2 linked regions of the Nothobranchius furzeri genome follow. The protein of the gene in region 1 interacts with the protein of each later gene in a biochemical or structural test. Links are inferred from orthologs where the notes say so. Each region holds a gene or a part of one and is shown in the gene's direction. Other genes may lie near its edges.

Region 1 (4,568 bases):
TAACGTTGTGTTAGCCTTTTCTTGCTCGATGCAACATGGTGTGAGAAATATCCCGGCTGTCGTGTCCCTGATAGAGATTAGCCAGCAGTTCTGCTAGACGGTGGTGGGAGTTTGGAGGAGTGATGAGATGTATCAGACTCCACAATCTGCTCTGGTGTAAAAATTTTCACACTGCAGAGAATCATTTGGGTCTCTGGTGCACTGAAGATTGAAAAGCATGTTTTAAACTCTTTTTTTAACATTGCTGATATGATTTACAAATCTATTACATCTCAAGTTTTCAATATAATTTCAGGGGTTGGTTATTGTTAGAAATAAAGGAATAAGGCTGTTGCTGTTTTTTTTCTAAGCTTTGTTTTTACAAGCTGGTTCCCAAAGTCAGAGACTCTCTTGGTCAGCTTGCTTCTCACGCCAAACCCTCTGTCAGGAATCTTGGCGTGACCTTTGACCCAGCTCTCACCCTGGATTCTCATGTCAGTTCTCTTGTTCGCTCCTCCTTCTTCCATCTCAGGAACATTGTAAAGCTGAGTCCCATTCTGTCCCGCTCTGAACTTGAGACAGTTCTCCACACCTTCATCTCCTCACGCTTAGACTACTGTAACTCTCTTTTCACGTGTCTGAGCAGAACCTCCCTGAACCGTCTACAGGTGGTTCAGAACACCTGTGCTCGGCTTCTGACCAAGTCCTCCAAACACACCCACATCACCCCGCTTCTCCTCCAGCTTCACTGGCTGCCAGGCAACTTCAGGGTTCATTTCAAGATCCTGGTTCTGGTCTATAGGGCCTTACATGGACAAGCACCATCTTACATTGGTGATCTTCTTAGTCCAGGGGTGTCCAATCCTGGTCCTCGAGGGCCGGTATCCAGCATGTTTTCGTTTTAACCTGTTTCAACACACCTGATTTTAATCAGCAGGTGATTAACAGACTTCTGCAGAGCCTGATGAGCTGCTGCACAGGTGATTCAACCAGCTAATCAAGCATGTTGAAGCAGAAAAACCACAAAACCTGCTGGTTACCGGCCCTCCAGGACCAGGATTGGACACCCCTTTCTTAGTCCCTACACCCCCAGCAGGTCCCTGAGGTCCAGTGATCAAAGCCTACTGGTTGTGCAGCACCAGGCTAAAGACCAAAGGTGACAGATCATTTGCTGCTGTGGCCCCGAGACTCTGGAACTCTCTCCCCCTGAGCCTGAGATCAGTGGACTCAGTGGTCTCCTTTAAAAAGCAGCTGAAGACTCACTTGTTCAAGCTGGCTTTTGTATGACCTTCTTCACCACTCTCTCTTTATTCTGCTCTCCCCACCTATTCCACCTTCCTCAGGATCCACTGATTTCCCTCTTTCCTATTCACTCTCTCTCTCTCTTTACATTTTTTAATCACAATTGTCTATTTTTTGCTCATTTTAAATATATTTTAATCATTTTCTAAATTCTTTTTTATATTTTACATTTTTTGTTTTTGTGGAGCGCCTCGTGACTTTTATCTTGAGAGGCGCTATAGAAATGATTTCTTCTTCTTCTTCTTCTTCTTCTTCTTCTTCTTCTTCTTCTTCTTCTTCTTCTTCTTCTTCTTCTTCTTCTTCTTCTTCTTCTTCTTCTTCTTCTTCTTCTTCTTCTTCTTCTTCTTCTTCTTCTTCTTCTTCTTCTGTCAAAGGTCAAATTGTGAACTTTGCGTCCAAAGACAGAGGAGTGCCTTTTATTGCTTTTCCTTACAACCTAAGCTAACTGAAACAGAAGGAGACATTTAGTAAGAAGTGCAACTTCTGAGAAGAGAGGACAGCCCCACTTGCAACAGCAGAATTTATGTGTTTTTAACAATGTCTGAATGGGAGGTGAGTATACAGGAAACAAGCTTTCGATGGACTTGAACTCTGTGACAGTTTCCACTTTTGCTTTAATTTAACAATCAGATTATTTGGATTCAGCCAACTTCAGATAATGTAAATAACAGAAGTGTATGTGAAGCTTTGAAAGTTCCAGGATTTATAAGAAGATGCTGACTCATCTTGACTTGGTCTGACACAGTGGACTGAGCTTATGACATGCATGACATGACATGCATCGACTGGATTTGACTTGACTTTAATTGACATGATATGGCATGACATGAATTGATTTGACTTGACATGACATGACTTGATCTGGCTCAACTTGACACGACATGACTTGCTCTCAGTTGACATGACATGATTTGATTTTACTTGACTTGACGTGGTTTGGCATGACATGACTTGATCTGACTTGAAAGGACTTGATCTGTCTTGAATTGAGATGACATGGCATGATCTGACTTGAGATGACATGACTGGATCTGACTTGACTTGACATGACATGATATGACATGACATGAATTGATTTGACTCTACATGACATGACTTGATCTGGCCCAACTTGACACGACATGACTTGTTCTGACTTGACATGACATGATTTGATTTTACTCGACTTGATATTATCGAGTCTTGCTAGTGAGTTTTTGCAATGAGCCAGCCCTTAAACTATGGCTGCAGGAAGATGGTATCATGGTTGCCAGGTGGAAATGATCAAGCAGACCCAGGTGAGAATAGCTGATGGATAAAAGTGGAAATTCAGAGTTTTTTTCAATGTGCTACAGAGGCGTGGGTTCTCTGTTTGTTAGCCGTTTAGCTAGCTGAGCAAGGATTCACGGGAGGTGTCTTGTAGCCTCACCTTAGTGTAAAATTTCCCAGAATATAGTGTGCTATTTTCAAAAGGATGGCGGATCAGGAGCCTGGAGCTACTTTGGGGGCAAATGTTCTGTTCGAATGTAAGTCAACTAATTATAGCTATCGGGCTGATATCATGTCTAAATGTATATATTTTTTTAGATCCAGTGCAGTTATCTATGGTTGCTTAGTAGTTTCAGCTTCGGTGGCTAGTGGGTAGTAACTCACTTATCTATTTAATTTAACCAGTATATACACAATTTAAAGGGACTTTACGGAATTTTAAATTTTTATGCTCGTGATTGCCCCCTCAGGCCAAAAGCGTAACGGCAGCTTCAATAGTAGGCTCGTGCACGAGGTGCGCATGCTGTACGTGCACACTCCTTAATGAAAATAACAGCTGAGACAGTTCTGTGTGTGTGTGTGTGTGTGTGTGTGTGTGTGTGTGTGTGTGTGCGGCCCGGAGGACAGAGGACAGGAGAACACGCAGCTAATTAATTAAATAATTTGGTTCTGTACCTTTCTCTTCAGCACAGCCGACAAAGGTTTATGATGGGTCAGTCCTCCTGCATGCTCAGATCATTCCCTTCCCTTGCTTGAAAAATGGTTTCAAAATGAAAGTTGAACCCACATCTTTTTTATCTGTGAATTCAATGCCGTTCGGCGAGTCTCAAATAAAAATTTGGGCATCTTACTGTAAAAAAATATATTATTAATGTAAAAAAGAAACTCTAAATAAACGATGTTCACACCCAGAATCAAATCTTCTGCTCGAGAGCCCAACGTCTTACTGGGTGAGCTAAAGCGCCAGTGACATCCTTTGTATCTGTAATATTTATACCCTTGATGACAGCTGAAACAACGTTCAAAGAACAGTTCGGAGCGAAAATGGCTATTTTGTTGCTAATTTGCAGGAAATATCTAGAAGAAAGTTCTACAGAAAGTAGCTAAGGGTCCTCAGAAATGTAGCTAGCTTTGTCACTAGGCGTTAGGAAGAGCGACAAAGTGGCACTGCCTCTCTCTCTGCTGCTAAAGCTACGAATGGCAAATGCTCCGGGCGATGCCTGAGCGTGAACGCGCATGAAGCAGCCTGCTCGACCCGAGCATCTCTCTTTTTCTGTGATTTTACAGAAAAATAGGCAATCACAGTAAAAATGCCAGGGCTCATTCTACAGGACCAGGGCATTGCAGGAGAATGTATGAAGAAGACATTTATTATTTCTATACATGTTTTGGCTGTCAAACTTTCATAATGCCCCTTTAAAAAGTAAAAGGCTCGTTATACATAAAATATAACTTAATCTCACGTGTCCCGTGAGGTAAGTTTGTTCCATTAAACCGATTTCTTTGATCAAGGAAGGACAGTGTCCTCATAGGCAAGGCGTCTGGCCTACCAAGACATTGCCTTATTAGGCCAGATGCCTTGACACTGAGGAACGCCCTTAGACCTGCTCCCATGTATTTTAGACGCAATTTTTATAGTTATATGTTATTCTATATAGAAATTATATTTTCTTCTTCTTCTTCTTCTTCTTCTTCTCATGAAGCCGCCAATATTTTTCAACAACTGGGCATCATTTCATTCATTTTCAACATAATTTCGATGGATATTTCCAGAGATTAACGGTAAAAACTACACATTGTCTCTTTAACAAAAAGTCAAGTTTTAAGCTAAGAAAGCAAGAAAATTGGTTTTTGTCCAAATGTATTTGGTTTTGCTCTTGAAGAATTCAAAATCTCACATTATAGAACAAATAACGTGGTAATAAAGTGAATAAATACAGGGATAAAAATAGAAATTAAGGAAATGAGCTGTTCTGTTAGTGGTTGTTGGTACCGGATGGATCTTCACCTACAGCCATGCCCAAGTTTACTGAGAATGG
Region 2 (2,549 bases), on another chromosome or scaffold:
CGTTCAGCTGGTCTGTGAGAACATTTCTACCCGCTCAGCTCATATGTGCGGCGCTGGGCTCGCTGGTATCATCAACCAGATGCGAGAGCAGCGCCGCCAGGACACCCTGAAGATCACAGTAGGGGTTGACGGATCTGTCTACAAGCTGCACCCATAGTGAGTATCAGTGAGAGGATTTATTAGAGTGGACGGAAGCGAGACTCTTCTGTGACTGACGAACCGGTTGTCTCTGTGTTTAAGTTTCTGCGACCGTTTCCACAAAGTGGTCCGGGAGCTCACCCCCCACTGTGACATCACCTTCCTCCAATCGGAGGAGGGCAGCGGACGGGGAGCAGCTCTCATCTCGGCTGTGGCCTGTAAGATGGCAGCTTACATGCTGACACAGTGAAGATGGATTTGCATTGGAGAGTGATGGAACGAGTCTCGACTCCGGCTGGAGGAGGAAATCCTGATGCACTTTCTAAAGCTTGAGAGGGACCAAACTGGGTACTAATTACTGGACAAGGAAGCATCAAAGTGTTTGTATAATAGACTTTATTTAGTAACACTATACCAACAACGGAGACTTTAATGTTTCCAAACTGTAAGACTTTGTTTACTCTTGTATTTTTAACAATAGGAAGCATGAAAGCTCGTCTTAGGTGTGCTTTTGGGAGGAGTTACTTCCAGTTGGTGGTAAAACGATCCATTCAAAAACAGATTATATAATATGGAACGTTGTGCATATAAACCATCGACATATATATTGGACAGTTCATTTCCATAGGCTCCAATAACACGTTTTGGAGGAGAAATGGGAGGTGGCCACCACCGCCATTTTGACCGTGTCACAGATTCCGTCAAGCCCAGACAATTCCATAAAAGGGAAGAGAGGTGGAGCTAAGGGTGTGGCTAGGCTGGGATCAACTGACGACACCCAGTCGAACTAGCTACAAGCTAACCTGAAGCTAACCCAAAGCTAACGCGGAGGTGGGAGCTAAGCTAACGGAGGTAGCAACCTAGCTACAACTGGAGTTAACTGTGCACAACACCAGAGCTTCTGAGTCAGAGATACGCCGGGCTGACCGCTGGGTAAAACCGGGAGGAACACAGAGGTCTCCCGAAAGCTGCTGAAAGCCGGCAGCCGCACAGCAGACAGAAGCCGCGATCAGACAGAGATGCGCCGGGCTGCGGGGAGGGGTGGAAAACATCGGTCTCTCGAGAGCTCCACAAGGCGATAGTGGGAACCCAGCTCCACCAACATGTTATTTTTCAACCCATTTTCTAAAGTGCAGCATTATGTTAAATGCACTGGGTTTACCCTATTACATTTACATTTCATGGTTAAACAGTACATGTTAAAATCTAAGCTCCGCTCGGCAGTGACCTAAAATACATAAATATAATTTTACTTATCGAAAAAAATGAAGTGGAGACTCCTTGGACGCTCTATTAGTGCAATTAATGCCACAGCAAGTCATTTTGTCCAACAATTGCACAAAAAATATCCAAAAAAGAATACACACACACAGACTCAAAAATCCCGGAGCAGTTTCCAGGCCAGACCGAGGCTCTACTGAGGCCTTTCCACGGAGCTAGCTCTGTGGTCACGTGGGTCTGATGCTCATTAATTATACAGAATTTTAGGCTTTTAATACACTTAAACAGAAGAGTGAGAAAAAATTCACCCCCCTCAGAGTTGTCATGAGTGTAAACTAGATCATTTAAACCAAAAACATGTTTTGGTACCAGGCTGTAAACATGTTTATTTCTGCTGTGAAATTGGTATTTTTAACATGGGAGTCAATGAGGATTTGCTCGCTTCTGACACCAGCCCCTAGTGGATGAGGGTGGAACTGCAATTTTTGGTACTTCCGGGTTTGACTCAATTTTTGAGCCGCATTGTGGGGGCTTGATATAAACACAAAAACCTTGTAAATTTGTAGACTTGACAGAATCAGATTCAATAATTTGTTGTGTAATTTGTGTTTGAGAGGAAAGAAATGTGTTTTGTTATGTTTATTTAAAACCTCAACATGTTCTGTGTTTTTTCTTTTATAAAGTGTGTTTTGTATAGGCTGTACAGTAAATAAAATAAAATATTCTGATTGAAATATTGAAATCTTTATTTATAATTTCAGTTGACAACAAATAGGCCAAACATGAAATAATTTGAACGTCTTCTAACCTATGAGTGTTGAATGCTGCTGCATCTCCCTGGCAGTAAGGCGTTTCCTGTTTCCAGTGCACTACGTGTAGCTGTTTGGTGTTTGGGGCTCGCTAAAACTGATTTATTTACTCTGTACTAGGATATCTCTGAGTTATTGTAGCACATTAGCATGCTAAAACACACATTTTCTGTTGTTCCACTTAGCTTTTAGGGAACCATTTGAGTTCCCACGCAGTTTATTTGGTGTTGAACAGTTTGCTCGTCCAGTTAGCTTAGCCTCATCACGGCTATGGCTACTTCTGTCTCTGCCTGTCTGTCTCCTATATCTTGCTCTCTGTGTCAGATGTTTAGTTCTCCTCTGCCTCCTTTAGTGATAATGGTACGTGTAATAAATGTAGCA

What was found.
Region 2: the proteins of gckr (region 1) and gck form a complex in vitro, tested with the Homo sapiens proteins (2 studies listed by BioGRID and IntAct, with this or other methods). The link is inferred for Nothobranchius furzeri from reciprocal best matches to the Homo sapiens genes GCKR and GCK.

The regions. Positions count from the first base shown.
Region 1 is NC_091754.1:55,298,140-55,302,707, reverse strand, and holds the start of gckr (glucokinase regulatory protein), read left to right. Parts: upstream 1-1,531; 5' UTR 1,532-1,818; coding exon 1,819-1,833; intron 1,834-4,568. UniProt on the Homo sapiens protein: Regulates glucokinase (GCK) by forming an inactive complex with this enzyme. Acts by promoting GCK recruitment to the nucleus, possibly to provide a reserve of GCK that can be quickly released in the cytoplasm after a meal.
Region 2 is NC_091757.1:56,107,099-56,109,647, forward strand, and holds the end of gck (hexokinase-4), read left to right. Parts: coding exon 1-156; intron 157-240; coding exon 241-388; 3' UTR 389-2,093; downstream 2,094-2,549. UniProt on the Homo sapiens protein: Catalyzes the phosphorylation of hexose, such as D-glucose, D-fructose and D-mannose, to hexose 6-phosphate (D-glucose 6-phosphate, D-fructose 6-phosphate and D-mannose 6-phosphate, respectively).